Coturnix japonica: one gene and its partners. The protein of the gene in region 1 interacts with the protein of each later gene in a biochemical or structural test. Links are inferred from orthologs where the notes say so. Each region holds a gene or a part of one and is shown in the gene's direction. Other genes may lie near its edges. The genes, in order: PAFAH1B1, DCX, NUDC and NDEL1.

Region 1 (4,697 bases):
ACAGTGTGTTCAAGTTTTACTGAAGCGTGGAATTCAGTGAATGCTCTTAAGTACAGCAGACTGTTCTCAATGCAGTCTTCTTTCAGAGACAAAGCCCCAGACTAGTACGTACATGTAGTTATCACTTCTTATGTCTCCTGTAGGTTGTGTCATACAGATTGATAGGTATATTCATGCTACTCCAATGTTTGGTAGTAAAAAAAGTAACCTTTTACTTTCTCAAATCTAAACTAAGGAGTATGTATTCTAAGAAGTGAGTGTTGCTATTTGTGTCTTGAAACAATATGTTTACCAAGTGTATTCTTAGAGTTTGCCTGGGCTTGTAAGAAACCTGGTCACCCTGGGTATTGATCTGAGGTGGTACAATTCAAACAACAGAATTACAAAAAGCCCTGAATCAATCCGTGTACTCTTATTCAGAACTAACAGGCTAAAGATACTGTTTTTGGTTTTGTGTTTTTTAGAAATCGAGCAATAGCAGATTACCTTCGCTCTAATGGCTATGAAGAGGCATATTCAGTTTTTAAAAAGGAAGCTGAATTAGATGTGGTGAGTTCAAACAAAATTCGTTGTGTGTATTTTAAGTAAAGAGTTTATCACTTTATGGTATTTGCATCTGTTGTGAATATGTATGCCTGTTATCTACCTATTGGCTCATGCGGATAGAACTGGAGGTGGTACACATGCATAGTTTATTGTCTTACCATACAATTAGAACACAATTAGCAGATGACTTAAAGTGTTTTGAGTAAAACTCTTTATCTTCTCATGACTGAGGCATAGACTTAATCTTACTTTCTGTCTGGCTAACACTCCTTTGCATGGTGACCCTGAGAGGGCCTAGATCCTTCAAGATGAAAGGTGCTGGAAAGCAAAGTTAATGAAAGGCAATGTGAAGGTATAAGGAAGATGATAAAGTCTGTATTTAAAAAATAAAAAAAAGACATGGAGTTACTGAAGTGAGTCCAGTAAAGGACAAGGAAGATCAGTAAAGGAACAGAGTATCTTCCGTACTGGCTGCAAGAGTTGAGGCTGTTTAGCCTAGAGAAGAGGAAGCTCAAGGGAGATCTTATGTTGTTTGTAAATACCTGGTGAGATGGTGTAAATAAAACAGAACTAGGCTCTGCTCAGTGACAGAACAAGAGCCAATGGGCTGAAACTGAAACACAGAAATTCCATCTGATTTTTAGTGTGGAACTTTAAAAAACAAAACCTTTTGACTGAGCAGTGAAACAGGCTCAGATGTTGTAGAGTCAGTCCCTAGAAATACTCAATAAGTATGTGGATGTGTCCTGAGCAGTTCCAGGTAACCTGGCTTTGAGTGAAAGGTTTTGTTGAATTTGGAAAAGACCTTGTCTGTATTGTGACTGCAGTTGGGTAAGTAGTTAAACCATTACCTGTGACTGTTGCATGCATACTAGTTGGTTAATGATGTAGTAGGAGGGCAAGGTTAAACAGTTAACAGAAGCTGATCAGCTCTGGTAAGCAGTTCTCTGTCAGGCTGGAGGGATTCTGGTGACATGGACCAGTCATTTCTTACAGCTTAAATTTTAAACTTGTCGTTTACTAGAGGCTTGCATTTCACTGCAGCTTGCTTCTCTGGAGATAGCTGCCTTGAGTAGTAAACTCAAAGATGATCCTTACTAGATCCTTCTCTTTGTTAGAATTATTGTGGTGTCCTTTCCCCCAAATCCTTTGTTGAAGTATAATATCTTATAGCAGCAAAGTCTGCTTCTAAGTATGCAATAAATAAGTAGAGATTACAAATTGGGATATTTAACGTTGAAATTCCTAGTACCGTTCACTTATTTGCTTGTATCTATCAACCTAATTAAATCTTCTTTTCCTGTGCAGTGTTATGGTAGTTATTTGAAGTTAACTATTACCACATTTTCAGAAATAGTTCTAAATTAGTTTGGGCTAAATTGTCCTCTGGATGTTGGCTGCTGCTCTCAAACAAGGTGCCTTTCCCTGAGAAGGAAGGGTGCTGTGCTAACAGTACTGTGTGAGCTCAGTCTGAGCTATGTAGGTTGTTCACTAGTTCCTGATGCTCTGGTTGGTGGATATGGAAAACAAGGCTCTTGGAGAAACTGATGTCCAGTCCTGTATGCCTCAGTCCTTGCTGTCAGTATGTGCAGGAGGAGGAAAAAGAACAAAATGGAACACAATTTCCTCAGATACGTGAAGCACATAAGAGTAAAAAGCTTTCAGATATTGATGTCTGGTCCTAGTTTTTGGGATTGTCTTTGCAGAATCTTTCATTGTTAACCTGTATTACTGATTATCTTTAATATTTATTTATTTAAAAGTTTCTTTTTTTCCCTGTGTGTAAACAGTAGTTATTAAAATTTAAGTATGGTTGTTCCCTTTTATTAGTAAGACTGGTTGTAGTCTTGCGTTTGATTTTTGTGTAAAATGAGCTGTTCATGTTGCTTTTGGAGAGACTTGTAGAGACATTTTGGACATAGAACTTACTGATTTCTTTAAACGCTCCTACCCAGAATGAAGAGTTAGATAAGAAGTATGCCGGGCTTCTGGAGAAAAAATGGACATCAGTTATAAGATTGCAAAAGAAGGTAAGTAGAGATCTGATAGATTTACTTGTATCAGAAGTTATAACCAAGAGTGAACATTCATCAGTGAACAGAATATTACATTTTTTTTATTTCTCAGACAAATGCAGGGTTTAGAAAATACCTCAAAGATTAATTTGGTTGATTTGAGTAGGGAGAATGGGCATGTCCGTGTTGTTAAAAAAAAAAAAAAAGTCTTTGTCCATCTTAGTGCTAGTGTTTTTTAAGAACCTTTATTTACTTCAGTTTATGGGTTGTATGAGGCAGAAAAGGAAAGATGTGCCCTAAGGCAGTTTGTGAATGGAAAGACTGAATAACTGTCTCCAGAAGGCTTAACTCAGAAGTACCCCATGCTGCTGATGTCTTTAGCCATTACATTAAAGGGAAGAAGCCATTAACTCCAGTGCACAACAGCATGTGATTCTTCTGCAAATGGATGGTACAAAACTCTTTTTAGTAATGCTTCAGTGGGTCTGGAGGGTATTAAAAGCTTTAAAAATCAAAGTGTACCAACAATAATGGCCTATCTACTATAGAGGTCAGTCTACATAAGATTGTATCACGTGTTCAGTTTCTCTGCTGTTGGTTAACATGCACACCATCTCAGGGATACAAAAGAACAAATTGCAGTAGTAGGATATGTTTTCATTAACAAAAACTCCCTCAATAGTTCATCAGAAGTGCCAGATAAGCAAGAAACATACACAAAAACCTTATCTCTTTTGAGTCAGTTGCTTGTACATCTTTGCACAGTATTTAGGTGATATGTTTTGGTGGAACTTTATTTTCTTGCCAGAAGTGTTTGGGAAGCTGGAGGAGATTAAGTGCTTTGATTTAGGTCTGATTTTTTTTTTTATTTTAAATTTTAATTTATTTCGAAATATTAGCTCTATAGTTTGATGTTAGCTGGTTTGGATCTCTGCTGTCTGTGCTTCATTGTGAATTTGGAAGCCTGTTGGTGGTACTAATGACTATAGATGATTTAGGTCTTGGTGTAAGGCTATACATAACTGGTCTCTTTAAAACCCATAAACTTAGGTAATGGAATTAGAATCGAAGCTGAATGAAGCTAAGGAAGAATTTACATCAGGTGGGCCTCTTGGTCAGAAACGAGACCCTAAGGAGTGGATTCCTCGTCCTCCGGAGAAGTATGCTTTGAGTGGACATAGGAGTCCTGTCACTCGAGTAATTTTCCATCCGGTTTTCAGTGTAATGGTTTCTGCTTCAGAGGATGCCACAATAAAGGTATGTGCTTGCTGGAAAAAATTAAAGGAAGCTGCTAAGAATGTAGCATTAGAATTTCATGGTGGATGTGTGTTGTAGTGATGAAAGATTGCTCCAGATTCTGCTTTAGCTTCATTAGGGACAGTTATTTCAAATGTGATTTCTGGTATAATATATGAATTTTGGTTTTATACTGATCCAGTTAGTATCTGCAATTATGTTTTACCGTGACTTGTGAAGAAATACTTAAGCTACTGTGGATCGGAGACTGGAACAATAAATGGGGGAATACGTTTTGACTGCTCTGTAAGAGGGCATAGGGAGCATACAGAGATGAGAGGGAAGAAGACAGTGGCCTCAAGTCATCTAAGTCTTAGAGTAGAGTGGTTATGCAGCTGTATTCTTAACTGAAAAATGGTTCTTCCCATTTATTTTAAGTGACATGTGCAGGTCCCGTGAGGTTGCTATGACTTTCAGGAGAGACTTTCAGTAATTCTAAACAATCTTCACACACCTTTATTGCAGTATACAGTGACAAGAACAGATTTGTTGTAGTAGGCAAGTAGTTTCTCATTTTAGCACCAAGCAAAGATATAATTGTGCATTTTGTTGCTCTCTGAATGTCACTGTTTAAGAGAAATTGCCATCTGTGTTGCTTTGAAAACTTATTTGGGAAAATGCAGTCCTGACAAAGGTTGAAAGGTATTGAAAGTAATGTGCTTAGAAATGTAAATTGTTCTGACAGTGAATGTGGTTATTTTAGTTGTGGTTTGGGTTCTCATCCCTAACCCAGTATTTTCTGGTTATTGCTCTGCAGTAGACGAAGTGTTTGCTGTTTGACTCTGAACCAGTGAATAGTTTCTGAAACCACGAAATAGGAGCAGGGGGAGTTTTTGAAGG
Region 2 (5,345 bases), on another chromosome or scaffold:
CTCGGTATCTCACACTGCCTAAAATGGTTTAGATTTGTCTCAGGGAATTATTCTCTTCTGAAGTAAATAGGTTTTGACCAACATTAACTCCTTGAGGCCAGCAAAGAAGTATTCATCAAGAAAGGGTTGTTTATTTCTGTGCCATATTGCCCAGCCAGTGTCTGTAGAATGAGATGATTCTGCTTTCATTTGCAGAGAAACAAATGTGGTGTGATTCCACTGGGAACGTCACATCAATCTGGCCTCAGGGCTCTTCATCTCCAATGATGCCCTGGCTGCTGAGATTCTTCTTGCCCGTGGCGGGATTAAAGGGGGACAATTGTACTTCCCGCGATTTGGGCACCTTATACAAATAACTGGGTTACACCGAAGATGAACATTGTTACCACTGACTGTAGAAGCCTTATCCTTCAGTCAGGAACAAATAACCTGGTTTCTTGACAGAGTAAAATGAGCTTAAATCTGAATGCTTTTAAAAGCACCTGCCCGTGCTCAAAAGTGTCTGGTAGAGTCCTGAGCAAGCATGTCCATATATATACACATTTCATTTTCTCATTGGTGGATGAGGTTTCAGGGTTAGAAAGAAGAGCTGTATTTTAATACTGTTTGAGACTATTTGCTGTCTTCATAAACTCCATAGAAGTCAAACTTGGGAGATAAGTTGTGCAGTTCCACAGACTGCGTGAATTTACATCACCCTTCCCCATTGCCCCTAACCAGTATCCAAATGCCTTAGGCATGCACCACTGAAGACTAAATTTTATTTCCTTTCCTCTGTTTTTGCTGTTACTGTGCTGAGCACATGTATAATAATTCATATCTTTGCATTTTAAAAAGATGAGAACTTAGTACAGTGTCATATATAGTATAGGGAAGAATTGTTTATCGTGGACAGATTAAGCGCACGGTGATGAATGTCTATATATCTAATTTGGGAATGAGAAGGAGAATCCTTGAAGTGCCTCCTGCTGCCTGTGTCTACATGCAGAGGCTGAAACACACCCAGATCTTGCTCTTTGCTGTGGTCCTCTTGAGTACTAATTCTTGAGGAGGGAGAGTAGGTCTGTGGTTTCCTCTATAGTGATTCCACAAAGCACAAAGGGAGCAGATGACAGCTTTTGCAGAGGATGCGAGGGAACCTTATATGAATGAAAAGAGGGTTTCAGGGAAGAAGAAAACTTTTTCACAACTGTTATGTGTGAAAATTGCTGGGAAGAGGTGCTTTGAGTGGATTTGTCAGCACTGCCTGGCCAATCATCTACAGGGCAGACAAAGCTGGAATAAGTACTATTTTATACACACACACACACACACACATATATATATATTTCCTGTTTAAATGCATAATGTGCCAGAATGAAGAAAAAATTTCATTCGAAACAGACAGAGCTTTGTTAGGAAAGATTTCTTTCTACACATGGGAAGACCCTCCCATTTCCAAGCCTTATTTAAAATAAAGATAATATCAGCTCCAACAGGGTTAGGAGTGGGGTTTGCAGTGCTGCTCCTCTACATATGGGATGGAAATCTCTCTTACAAAGCAGGTGGAAGATTTTGTTGTCTCAGGGAAAGAGGTTAGTGCAATTTTGGAACAGCTGAATTCTCCTGCAGTTGAGTCCAATTTTTTTTGTTGTTTGTTTGGGATTTAAGCCAAATTGAATCTGTTGGGTTAGGTTTGTGTTGATTGACTCCATCCCGAACCCCTTGGGTACTTGAATTCAGAGCTTTGGTTTTGACTTATGTCCAGTGTTAACAGAGAAAAATTATTCAAGTGCACTGCATATGTAACCACCAAGTCAATTGTCCCTTCCAGCTTGCCAGTATAAACCATGAATGCCGTGTGAAACCAGTACGGCAGCAGAACTGGGCCCAGTGCCACTGGTTAACTTTTTCTTAAGTTGCTTTACTAGTACACTAAAGCCTTGTGCCAGCAACTGTAGGACATAGTAAGCTAGTAGCCATGACCTCCCCATACTGTAATCCTATAAAATTAGTGTGTCTAATTATGCTCTATTTTCAGTGGGGCCAGATGCTTTCTTGGTGAAGTTAAAGCCAAGGAGAAATTTACTTCCTTCAGAACACAAGCCCCAAACTTGCCCCTTTAAACTTTTTTTTGCTTAACCATCTATTAACATATCCAGAGCTGGAATGAACACACCCTTTTTTTTCCCCTCTCAGATACAGAGAAGACTACAATAAGATGAATGATGATTAGAGTAAAAGCCGTTGAGGCAAAGTTACCATGAAGGGATCGAACAAGGCACTAGGACCTAGGAGGCGTCTCATCCACCCTGGCAGGAATTTCTTGCTTGGAGCTCAGACAACAAAGGCAGAGCGAGCCTGGTTTTCTTTCTCTCAGCATCTCCACCCTGCGCGCTGAAAACCGGTGAGTAGAGCTCTTTCGAGTGACTTGCATGCAGAAAAGTAGCAGATGTCAGATGGAAGGAGGAATCTTTCTTTTAGTACCTTACAGCATCTGCAGTTCATTTTTAAACAAAACCCCCGAATCCTCCGTTTCATTCCCGAAGTTGCTTGGATGTTTCATTGTTCAGTACATGTCACCCGACTGAATATACCCCAGCTGGCATTGTGCAGAAAACGTTCCTAACTTGGGGTTTCTCTGCAGATTGCCTGCATTGTCATCTGCTTTACTGCAGGCTGAGGACAATGATTTTTCCCGTGCGGGTCACGGTGACATTGTAAAACACAGCGAAGCAGCGGTTCTGGCAAATGTGAGGGGTGGGGAACTGATAGCAACAGCTTTTCCTAGATTTGTACCTGGCTGCCAAGTGTGGGATGTAAATCCTATTTCTGCCTTGTGTTAACATGCAAGCAACATACGTGAGTTGCATGTTCCTAGTTTACAGAGGGAATTAAAGAGCTGGACTGGGGGGATTTCTACTCCTTTTGTGTTGGGGTTTGGTGCAGGGGGGGGGGGGGGGGAAATGCAGGGGGGGGGGGGGGGGGGAGATTGTTCTTAAGCATAAAATAAAGACCATGCAGAAATTCCTGATTACTGTCTGTCAGCTCAAGTCTGCTTTTCTGAGCTCTTCCTTTGCGCTAGGAGCCCCCCTGTGCTCAGAACAATGAAAGGTGAGCTGGCAGGGGCGGTGTGTCCCTTGGGCAGGGGGCACTTCCAGCAATTAAATCACTTAAGACCAGGAGGGGGGGGTGGGATTGGAAGAGTTTGAAATAGCTTCTTTATTTTCTCTTCCTCATTAAATGGGAGCAGAAATGCAATTCAGAGGAGGCTCAGGCTGCTGAAAAGAGCTCATAGAAGCCTCATTTCAATGACAGATTTTTCTTTGCAGTCATTTCTTCTTAGAGATGTAGGCTGGTCCTGGGAATTGATTGATGGGCTAGGAGGGGGCTGCGGATAGGGGGAGGGGTGGGATGGATCTCATTGTTAACCCTTATTGAACAGGCTGTCACAAAGAAACTGCTTAGTCCCCTGCGACCATTCCTTCATAAATACCAGTTTATTCTAATGTTAAATATTCAGATGCTCTGATTCCTTCCGTGATTCGACAGATTGAAGGGCTGACTCACTGGGATCTCCTTGTTTTCTGTTGCCAAAGGAAACCTCACAGGGCTCAGAGGTTTAATTCACTGCCAACTGGTGTTTGGATGAGTTTTTGGAGGCTGAGATGCAGCTCCCTTTGGCCTCAAGTCCCCATTTACTACACTTTGAAAACTCCCAGGTGCAGGAGCAGACTGCTGTCTAGCAATATGTTCCCTGGCCCTAGTAATTGGATCCCTTTCACAGCGAGGACCCCTCCTACCCTCAGTCCCCAGAATCAATACAAATCTGGGTCAGGGGAGGGGATGCTTCCCAAATAAATCTGGCCTGCTCCAGATGCAGCTCTCACATTAGTGTCATTTTTCTTGCTGGACTGTGGCTCTGATTGGCTCTAACCTGTCCTTTTCACACTCCTTTTCTCCCCATCTTACTGCTCAGCTTCAGATCTTTAGGGTTCACCAAACTATGGAACTTGATTTTGGACACTTTGACGAACGAGACAAGGCGTCCAGAAACATGCGAGGCTCACGTATGAATGGGTTGCCCAGCCCCACTCACAGCGCTCATTGTAGCTTCTACAGAACCAGTACTCTACAGACCCTGAGTTCTGAGAAGAAAGCCAAGAAAGTTCGTTTCTATCGCAACGGGGACCGCTACTTCAAGGGAATTGTATATGCTGTGTCTTCCGACCGCTTCCGAAGTTTTGATGCTCTCCTGGCTGACCTGACCCGGTCCCTGTCTGACAACATTAATCTGCCTCAGGGAGTCCGTTACATTTACACCATTGATGGATCGCGGAAGATTGGAAGCATGGATGAGCTGGAGGAAGGTAATTGCCATTGCTGGCTGGTGCAGTGAGGAGGCGGGGTGGGAAGGGGGCTACACCACTTCCCTGTTCTTAAGGTCACATTTACTGCAGGCATGGGGATGCTTCTGCCCCTCTGTGCTGAACTTGCCCTGTCTTCTTCTTTGCACAGAGATGCAGAGCAGTGTGGCAGCCCTCAGGGTGCCGCCGGCATGCTCACTCTAGTGCAGATGCAGAGCTTGAGGGGTGTGTCTTACTCTGGACTAGACATGGCTGCATGCATGGCTCAAGGGGCTGTCTGAGGGCATCCCTATGTCTGTCTGGACTGGGCTAGGGTCCCACAGGGATTGGATGCATGAAAGTAGAAAGTGCTATGATTGTATGTGTGGTGGGTTCGTGCAGTATGTATGTAACAGGATTTCTGCACAATGTATGATGGGGGTAGGAGGGATTTATGCACAGTGTGTAGTAAGGGTGTGCAGTGTGTAGGGCTCGTGAACAATGTGTATGGGAGCATCGGCTGAGATGTGCAGGGGATTATGGAACGTTGGGATTGGGGAGTGAGTGTGTTTAAGGGGGTATATTAGTGTCTCAGACAGCATTTGAGAAGGGTTGAGGGGTGTGTCAGGAGCTTGTGCATTGTGTTTGGGGGGCAATTAAAGATCAACATGTGTACAAGAAAAGGGAGCATTGAAAGGGGTTTCACTTGGTGAAATTTGAGCTTTTATACATAGACATATGCAGAAGAAGTTGTAAGGAAGGTTCCTAGAGCGAGTTCGTGCTCAGGGGGTGTGTTGGAGGGATTACACTCAGAGAATGTTGTAGAGGGATGATGGGCTTTGTGTGTAAGAGGTGGTGCTGGAGGATTCCTGCATAGTGATGTGTAAGGAAGGAGTGTTGGGGGGAGGGGGGGGTTCACATGCTGTGTATGAGTAGGGTTCATGTGGGGCATGTATAGAAGGTAGATATATTGGAATGTCCAAATGGAGTGTGCGTGTGCAAGGAAATGTATTTCAGGAG
Region 3 (3,957 bases), on another chromosome or scaffold:
CAGGAGCTATAGAAACTCTTCATGGCAGAGGTTTTGTAATGCAGACATTAATATGCCTGGGGAAAGCTCAGCTGTGGGACAGGTCAGAAGTAGGTATAAAAACTAGGTCCAGTGTCTCCGTTCTTCCAGCTTTCATTGGTTGTATGGAGTAGCTGTCAGATGGGTTAGGAATGCTGGAATAGCACAGAAAGCAAGAAAGCAAAAAATACCTTGCTATATAGTGAGTTGGCTTCGTTTGGGTTTGGAAAAGAAAAAAAAAGGTAATTTCTTTTTAAGCCCTTTGGTGTGTGTTCTTGTCTTCCAGCTGATCACAGACTCCTTCAACCATCACAACAAACTGGCTCAGAAGGAGCGGAAGGAGAAGAAGGCTCGTCAAGAGGCAGAACGACGGGAAAAGGCAGAGAGAGCTGCAAAGCTTGCCAAAGAAGCAAAACAGGAAGCAAATGAGCCAAGGATTAAGGAACTTACAGACGAAGAAGCAGAAAGGCTGCAGCTGGAAATAGATCAGGTGAGAGCTTTGCTTGGCACACAAGGGTACCAGCAAGTATGTCAGATGAGCAAGTAATACAAAAGTATCAGCTATCCTAATGTGTTAATTCTGTTTTTAAACAGAAGAAAGAGGCACAAAAGGAGGTTAACAATGTCCCAGTGAAATCCTCAGAGGATGATGGTGATGCTTCAGATTCTAATGAACAGGTAAGACTCATCCAGTGATTTCATTTTGGACTGAGAGAAATATGTTTCTGAATAACCATGTGAACTCCTGTAAATATTAGGGGATGTCCTGCCTGCTTTTCTTTGAGAGGATGCACTGAAACTGATTTTCTCTTCTGTACTGTGTCCTGGTCATAACAATATTTAATTCTCAATATAATTTTCTTTTAACAGAAACACCTTTTCATTTTGGGTTAAATTTATGCAAATATCACATATGTTCAACTAACCCGAAACTCTTATAAAAATCTGGAATTGTGAAGGGTATATGGAGACTTGAAAAAACTTCCTTTCCCTTTTACATTGGCTGATTAGGAAACAAATGAAGACGATAAAGATGAGAATGATAAAGGAAAACTTAAGCCCAACTCTGGCAATGGAGCTGACCTCCCAAATTACAGATGGACGCAGACTCTTTCAGAGCTGGATGTAAGTACTGCCTTATATACGGATCTGAGGAATCTTAGCCACAAAGTATGTGCTGGTAAGAACAGTGATCCTGAAGGTTGTTAATTTTACTTAATGACAACATTCCAGTAGCTGAGGGACAGCCTGGTAATTAAATTAAATTCCCAGAAGCTGTAGGTAGCTCTACTTTCTACAAAGCGTTGGCAAACAAAGTTAGAACAGGACATGAAAATCTGCTTCCCTTCCTTAAAGATACATTGACCACCCAGTTGCTAAATTTACACTTGTATCCTTTCACCTCTTGCTTGACCAATGAGAATTATCGTATCTTACTCTGGCAAAAGGCAAAGTGTCTTACAACAGCAGCTCAAGAGGGCAAGGAGAGACTTAATTGCTCTGCTCCTCATGTCTGACCTTTGTCTGTTCCAGCTGGCCATCCCTTTCAAGGTGAACTTTCGGCTGAAGGGGAAGGATGTGGTGGTGGATATCCAGAGACGGCGCCTCAGAGTTGGCCTGAAAGGTCATCCCCCTGTTATTGATGGAGAACTTTTCAATGAAGTGAAGGTGGAGGAGAGTTCCTGGCTGATTGAAGATGGTAAAACAGTCACTGTGCACCTGGAGAAGGTAAAGCAGCATTAATTGGGGAGGGCTGAGACTTGTCTGCCACTTTCCTGGTGAAATCAGAATCACCAAACACAGGGCTTTATAAAGCTGGAACAGAAGAATCATGCTTGTCCTTGGTGCAGTGTTAGTGATGCTATGGAAGCCAGGGTGTTGCCACTTGATCCTGTCTGCAGGGAGGTGAGAAAGTGTCACAGGTTGCCCAGAGAGGTGGTGATGCCCCATCCCTGCAGACACTCAAGGTCAGGCTGGAAGGGCTCTGAGCACTGATGGAGCTGTAAGTGTCCCTGCTCATTGCAGGGGAGTTGGACCAGATGGCCTTTAAAGATCCCTTCTAACCCTAAGGATTCTATCATTCTGGATAGCTGAAGTGGTTAGAAATGAAAGTGGTGCCCCTTATTCACGTTCAGATTGTACTGATGCTTAGAGAATAAAGTTTAATTCCAGACACAGCATGCTAAGAGCAAGTCCAGGAAAAAGAAATAACTTTTGCTTCTTTGTTCCCTCAGATCAACAAGATGGAGTGGTGGAACAAACTAGTCTCCACAGACCCAGAGATCAACACCAAGAAAATCAATCCAGAAAACTCAAAGGTAAGAACTCCCTCTGTTTGAATGAACGAAGCCTTCCTATCTTAGAGGTGCTCCCAAAACTTCAACTAAATAAAGCTGAGATAAGTTAGAGTGTCTGATATTTCTCTAGCCAGTGCACACAGCATTGTGTGCATCAGAATACCCGTGTTCTGTGCAAGCAGAATAATGTGTGTGTGTGATTTCAATTCTGATGGAATTCCTTGGTTTCAGTTGTCAGACCTGGACAGTGAGACTCGCAGTATGGTGGAGAAAATGATGTATGATCAGCGACAGAAATCCATGGGCCTTCCCACATCTGATGAGCAGAAGAAGCAAGGCATTTTGAAAAAGTGGGTATACCTAATTGATCTGTGGGTACTGGCTTTCCCCTCTTCATCCTTCACACCAATATATAGTGGTGTTATAGAGGATCAGGTCGCCCTTCAGTGCTACCTGAGTTCAAATCTACAGTTACAAAGTCATTGAATTGTTGGCTAACCACCAGCATCTATAAAAGCCAATGGGGGTAGATAACATAATGGGAAGTTCTGGGAATAGTCCAGCTCTGGTATTGTCTTAATCTTCTGATTTCAAGTCCAGAAAGCATGTTTGAGCATAGAAGTACTGACTCCAGTGAACTTTAACATGGTCTTGATTGTTTTCTAATCTCCCTCTACTCAGTAGCCCAGATAATCTCCCTTACACACCTGTCACCAGACAGCTATCTCCAAGCCAATAGTCCTTTTATGCCTTTATTGCCTTGTTTGGCACAAACGCACCTTGGCAGGGAAATTACTCATGGAGCCCCCAAGGCCAGGCAGGGAGGCGTGGAGGCAGTTCTGAGTCAGGCATCTTCCTTGGAAAGTGCAAACCCACATCTCAGGGCTGGAGGGAGGATTGGTGTAGCAGACCTTCCTTCTGCATCTGGCTCCTTCCTCAGCTTATCTGTTCTGGCAGAAGCTTTGCTCTGAATGGTGTGCTGAGTTTAGAGTAGGGTGAGACTCTTAAAGACCAGATTTCCTCAGTGCCTGAAGGAGTTGTGGAATGGCAGGTCGTCTTTGCCTGCTGGAAAGTGCACATGAAGGATATCACAGCGAGACCACTGGTTCAGTGCTCTGCAAGCTTGGCCCATGTGCAGATTGGCTGGTAAAGAATGGATAGGAAGTTTAGACTGAAGTGGACTGGGTGACACCCAGGTGGGTTCTGATCTCTGCTGTTGAGTTCCTCCTGGCTGCTCAACAAGGATGCTGCTCTCACAGCACATATTTCCGTGGAGATGGAAAGTTTCATGTTAAACACAGCATTTCATGTTAAACAGAGGGATATGGGGGGTCTGCCCTGTCCTCCCCCTCATGCATACACCCTCCACATGGTTGTGTTGAATCCCATGGTGAAATGCAGGGCAGAGGAGGAATGCAGGGGCATCTCTATGCCCTAATACCCCACTCCTGGTCTCCTGTAGGCACAGGTCAGTTCTCAGAACTTTCTGATGTGGCAATCTGTGTCCAAATAGTCCTATCTGCTGAGACTGCAGTACATTTGAAATCAGGTTGTGCCTAGTCTCAGGTTGCACTGGAGATATTCCCTATGTCTCCAGTAACGCATAAGGTAACACATTCAAGCTTAAATCCTAATCTACCCT
Region 4 (5,269 bases), on another chromosome or scaffold:
TGCTGGCACTGCGTCCTGCTCTGTGTCACACTGTGGGTGATGGCAGCATCATTCCCTATGGCACGGGGAGCACTGCAGCTATGACATGGCACTTCCCCACTTTGGGGACTCTGACAACCAGCACGAGTCGTTATATTGAGAACTGAAGGCCAGATGTGACTCTGACAGGGTCTCTTATCAAGTCCCATTGCAGGCAGTTATTTGGTTCATTCCAAAGGTCAGCTGACATTTGTATTACCTCTGTCGGTCAGCAAAAAGAACTGTGGCTGTGGTGGTGCCAGCACTGTGGCCTGTCACATTTGAGCATCGTGTTGTGTTTCAGGCTTAGTGTTCTGGTGGGACATTTGATCCAAGCTATCACCAGTCACATGGGGAGCCAGGGGAGCTTGTTCTAAGGTTCTCTGTTATAATTCCTGCTTGTGTTTTAATGGCTCAGCTGAGAGGTGGCTCCATGAAAATATCAGTTGGCTGCAAGATTCACTGATGCACTCGAGGGCAATGCTGCTGACCTGTTAGTTTAGCTGGTTCTGCTGTGTGTTGGATTCAGGCTTTGAGTCTCTTAAGATCTGGAAAGTACTGAGTGACCCACTTGCAAGAATGCTTTTGGGAACAGGAAGCCAGATCACAATCAGATAAATAAGTAAATAAGAACACCAAAACACGACTTAGTGAAGTTTGTAACCTACAAGCTCCAGTTTTTAGGAGCAATCATAGTGTGGAAATACTGTTCCAATTTAGGTGCAGAGTCGCTCTGTCCCACTGACTGTGTAATGGGCGCCTGAAAGGAGCCATCGCATTTTGAACATAGCTCTTGTTGTAGAGCTGCTCGGATCTGGAGTTCTGCCCGTGTAACTGAGTTTTCCCAGGGTGCTGAGTGAATGCTAAGCTGTGTTGTAATGAATTCTGAGTGGGCATCCACATGAGCCTGCTCTCATTTTCCCTGGAAGACGCTGCTGCATTGTCTTGTCTGCTCCTGAAAGCCCCAGTGTTGTTTGTCAAAGGCCCGATTCTGCAAATGCCACGTATACAGAGGAGCTTCTGAATGGGAAGGGCTTGTGCTGGGCTCAGCTCTGCACAATGCCTGCAGCCAATGCAGCCAACAGTGCGCTCAGCACGGCGCTTTGTATCCAGCTCTTGGCATGCCGTGGGCATCCACTGTCCCACGCATGGTCAGGGTTGTGTTAGATTCTCTTAGTGCTGTGGAGCTGCTTTTTGCCCCACTATGGGCAACGGATGGCAGAAGGGAAAGGTGCAGGTTGGGAGCTGTCTGTGTCTCCTAACCCTCAAAGCAGTATTTATGGTTCTGACCAGCTGTGGATGATGTGAGCCTGCTCTCATCTTTCTCTTGTCCCCCAGGCATGGGAGAGAAGACAGACAGTAAAAGCTTGTCTGCAGGAGTGCTTAGCTGGCATGTTGGCATGAGCATCGGATGGAGGTGTTTCTGTAGTGAGGTTGGTGGATCAAAACTCAGTGGTGGCAGCATTAGGTGTGATGGAAAACACGGAGCGTGGGGAGCTGTGAGCTGTTGCTGTATGATGAGATGGACAAGGCTGGGGCACTGCCTATGGCAGGTCTGCTCTGTCCCTCTGGGAGGTGGCTTTGGAGGAAGAGTGGGGCTCTGATGAACATGGGGGTCCCAGCACTGCTGGCTGCTGGCTGCTGCTTGCAGGGTGTTGGTTCCAAGGGTGTGTCTTGTGCAAGCAGACAGGAAGGAGTCTTGGACCCAGACACACGTTATCGTGGCTGCTTCTAGGAAATGATGTAAGGCACTTCCTCGTACTGACTTTTCTCTGAATTCAGCTTGATGGGTGGTTCCTTGGTTGTTTACCTTTAGACACAGCTGTGGGGCTGACCCTGTTCAATGCGGTGCTTCATTTAATGAGGTGAAAAAGTGATTCTGGCTGACTTGAGAGTGCCAGCTGAGAGCCAAGAGCCTTGTGACTTCTGCTGAGGTGGTTTCAATGTGATTGGTGTGGGACTGATGTTATGGACAGCACGCAGCAGTAATCAACTGCTCACCTCTTCCTCAACCCACAGATCTGCATAGCAGTTCAGGAGCTGCTTGACGTGTGCCTGAGCCACAGCAGATGTCTGCCTGCCTTAATGCATCAGCCTGTGAGACACTGGCAGCTCAGGAGGTGATTCATGGGCTCTGCATCCACTGTAAACACAGCTGATTTGTTCCTGTTGTCATTAAACTGCCTTGGTAACAGGTGCAATAACTGAAGCACATACACCCCAAGAGATTTTCATCTGAAGAGATACAGCAGGACTGTGGTGCTGGGGGGAATGGTGGTGCCTCCTATTGTTTTATTCTCAGCTCAGGGCCGTGTAGAAAAGGAGGCATGGTCAGTTGGCTCAGGCAGCATGAAGGCCTGGTTCGTCACAGAGTGCTACTGCAGCACAGCTGTAAGTTAAGTAAAGACAGAGAGAGAGCTGAGGGTTTTTGGATGTACTGAGCACCCTGCAGGTAAGGTTGGTTTCATGCCCTGGGTTGTAGCAGCTGCAGAGCAGTGTGCCAGTTTGGCTGTGCTTTAGGTGTGAGCCAGAATGGATGGGCTGCTGTGCCCTCTGATGGGAGTGCTGTCATCATATTGTCCCACTTCTGGGTGTCTCAAATGTGGGTCACTGAGATGCAGAGCATGACAGTGTGACACTTTCAGGCCTGGAGGGACAGCATTGGCTATTGATGACTGTCAGTATGTGAAAGTCAAGGCTTCTAGGTCATCTGCAGTGATTAATCTGCTGTGACGAGCTTGGTACAAACATTGTTTAAAGCCTCTGCAACAGAAGTGAGTTTCAGCTTATTCTTTTCTGGAGATTTATGATCTATTTTAAATGGTGTTTTCTGGAGAGGAAGAAAAAAAATGGCTACCTGTGAGTAAGAGGGAGCTTGGAAATGGAATGGAGCTGCCTGGGGCTGGGAGCTGGGCCTGGCTGAGTGTATCCCTGGGTGCTGCAGTGAGTGCAGGTCCACCACCAGCACTGCTTCATCCTCATCGTCATCTTCAGTAACATCTGAGGTCTGGTGTGTGGGGTGCTCTCGTGTGCAGTCATAGTGAACAGTGTTTGTACTATGCACTGTAGGAAAAACCTTTTACAAATCCAAGTGGAAACTGTGATAGCTGTAAATCATTACCCCTGGTGGTCCTAAATGAGCCAGTGGCTTTAACTGCTGTTTCCATGGTCGGTGAATGATACAGCCCAATTTTGTGGTCTCTTTTTCAGGCTGCTGCATGAGCGTTTCCAGAGGTTGGAGACCATGATGTTACTTGTTGCAGCTGGTCTTTGCTCAGAGGTGGCTGTTAGGAATCATTAACATTCTGCAGGCCAGTCTCAAGTCTGTTTGCTCCTGACAGGCCACAGCTTTGAAGTACAGCAGCAGTGGGGGGTTACTCTGCCTGCCTCATCATACTAAGCGTTTTCTTATGTCTGCATCCTACAGGTCATATTGAACATGGACAGTGAGGAAATTCCAACCTTCTCAAGTCCAAAAGAGGAAACTGCCTATTGGAAAGAGCTTTCCTTGAAGTACAAACAAAGGTACTGTTGGATATTTTCAGAGTGGATTTGGTTCTAGATGACTGAGAATGTAGCTTAATCTATTTCTCTGCTAGACTTTAATCAAAATGAGCATTAGATGTATTAAAATGAATCTCACCATTTCCAGCTTTAGGTGCAGCTTTTAGATCCAGCCTTGTGCAGGCTGAGTATTTCATTCTCAGTGTTACTATGCCATGAACTCAAGACTGAGCACGTTAGAGCAGGAGAAGAGCTCTTCTATGATCATGTGTATGTTTGTATAATTAAAATGCTGTCTTAAGTACTAGCTTGATGTTTTGCAGTAGGAAGACTGCCTGTGGGTTTGCCTGGTATCATTACTGTTCCCTCAGGCTTCTTGCACTTGGTCTGAGAAGTTTCTTATTTGGTAGCTGGCTGCAATATGTTGAAGCACATTCATTATAGCTCATAGTTCTGCCTGTGTTTGCCTCTGCCATCTTTTAAGGGGAGCAGAAGGCTTTTTGGTTACAAAAAGTGGCAAGAGAACTTGTTGTCTTGTGTGCTGCTTGTGGTTTGTTGTGGGGAGGGGAGTCAGTAGTGGTGGTTTCCTGCTCATTGCCTTTGGAGAGCTTTACTTGCACTCTATGTTAGTGTGCAATAGAAGCAAAGCCAGCTAAACCTCTCTCAAGTCCAAGGAGCCCAGTGTGCAAGCTGTTGTTTTGTTTGGGTCTGTTTTCTGGGTGTAGGGAACAGAGGGTGGGCATTTGAGATCCCTGAGCTGTATGAGAAAAGTCTGTCAGGTCTCTCTGAGGCCAATGAATATGTAGCTTCCTAAATATCATCAGTTTTCTCTGCTGGTTGCAAAGAGTTGAGCTATTACGTATGGTAAAGATGAGAGTGTAATTAGTGAAATATGTGGAGTTGCTGCTTCTAGTAATTTAATACCTTGCAGTGGCATAAGGTGGGTAAATGCTGGCTTCCTACCAAAGCACTTAGTAACCCTGAGATCCAAACCTTAATGCTTTCCAGCAAACTTATATTTCCAGGTAGTGCTGAGATGCAGTGACTATTGTTCTGTGCTGGTTTTTGCCTAAAGCAGGTTAAAAGCTTTACTTAGTGACTCTCTCAAGGCTGCTAGAGTGAAGGCTAGTGGGGTACCAAGTGTCAGACTTGCAGGAATCCTGGAAATAGCCTTGATATAGGTTGTATTTGCATGTGTATTGAATAGAGTTATTTGATATAAAGGGCTGAATTTCCATTTGTAGGTAAACAATGCAGTTTCTCTGTTTCCCCCAGTTTTTACTTTCCCTGTAGAGGTCCCTGGTTAAGTACTTTAAAACTCTTGGTGCTTTTTCACCTAATTATTTCTATAGAGCGGTGAACTTTGTGCTTGAGAGAAGCTGCATTTTGAACTGATGAAATCTCCTTACAGCTTCCAGGAAGCTCGTGAAGAGCTGGCTGAATTTCAGGAGGGAAGCAGAGAACTAGAAGCTGAGTTGGAAGCACAGCTGGTGCAGGCTGAGCAGAGGAATAGAGATTTACAAGCAGATAACCAAAGGCTGAAATATGAAGTGGAAACATTAAAGGTAGGTCTAATCTGTAATGATATTGATTCTTCCTTCAGATATGTGTCGGCTTTCATTTTAGGCTGTCTGTTCTTGTTCTTGGTTATTGGATACCTAAACGAAGTAAAGGGAATCATCTGCTTAAGGTCTAGTCTTGAGCATGGCATGTACTCCAAATAAGGCCAGCAGCATACCTTAGACAC

Evidence for each region.
Region 2: the proteins of PAFAH1B1 (region 1) and DCX form a complex in vitro, tested with the Homo sapiens proteins (2 studies listed by BioGRID). The link is inferred for Coturnix japonica from reciprocal best matches to the Homo sapiens genes PAFAH1B1 and DCX.
Region 3: the proteins of PAFAH1B1 (region 1) and NUDC form a complex in vitro, tested with the Homo sapiens proteins (3 studies listed by BioGRID). The link is inferred for Coturnix japonica from reciprocal best matches to the Homo sapiens genes PAFAH1B1 and NUDC.
Region 4: the proteins of PAFAH1B1 (region 1) and NDEL1 form a complex in vitro, tested with the Homo sapiens proteins (3 studies listed by BioGRID). The link is inferred for Coturnix japonica from reciprocal best matches to the Homo sapiens genes PAFAH1B1 and NDEL1.

What each region holds. Positions count from the first base shown.
Region 1 is NC_029534.1:8,195,233-8,199,929, forward strand, and holds part of PAFAH1B1 (platelet-activating factor acetylhydrolase IB subunit alpha), read left to right. Parts: intron 1-464; coding exon 465-549; intron 550-2,501; coding exon 2,502-2,576; intron 2,577-3,611; coding exon 3,612-3,818; intron 3,819-4,697. UniProt on the Homo sapiens protein: Regulatory subunit (beta subunit) of the cytosolic type I platelet-activating factor (PAF) acetylhydrolase (PAF-AH (I)), an enzyme that catalyzes the hydrolyze of the acetyl group at the sn-2 position of PAF and its analogs and participates in PAF inactivation.
Region 2 is NC_029519.1:12,490,149-12,495,493, forward strand, and holds the start of DCX (neuronal migration protein doublecortin), read left to right. Parts: upstream 1-2,142; 5' UTR 2,143-2,386; intron 2,387-3,958; 5' UTR 3,959-3,985; coding exon 3,986-4,349; intron 4,350-5,345. UniProt on the Homo sapiens protein: Microtubule-associated protein required for initial steps of neuronal dispersion and cortex lamination during cerebral cortex development. May act by competing with the putative neuronal protein kinase DCLK1 in binding to a target protein.
Region 3 is NC_029538.1:1,628,950-1,632,906, forward strand, and holds part of NUDC (nuclear migration protein nudC), read left to right. Parts: intron 1-304; coding exon 305-508; intron 509-612; coding exon 613-696; intron 697-1,029; coding exon 1,030-1,143; intron 1,144-1,551; coding exon 1,552-1,746; intron 1,747-2,252; coding exon 2,253-2,336; intron 2,337-2,546; coding exon 2,547-2,665; intron 2,666-3,957. UniProt on the Homo sapiens protein: Plays a role in neurogenesis and neuronal migration. Necessary for correct formation of mitotic spindles and chromosome separation during mitosis. Necessary for cytokinesis and cell proliferation.
Region 4 is NC_029533.1:1,495,673-1,500,941, forward strand, and holds the start of NDEL1 (nuclear distribution protein nudE-like 1), read left to right. Parts: upstream 1-2,059; 5' UTR 2,060-2,087; coding exon 2,088-2,138; intron 2,139-3,445; coding exon 3,446-3,543; intron 3,544-4,933; coding exon 4,934-5,087; intron 5,088-5,269. UniProt on the Homo sapiens protein: Required for organization of the cellular microtubule array and microtubule anchoring at the centrosome. May regulate microtubule organization at least in part by targeting the microtubule severing protein KATNA1 to the centrosome.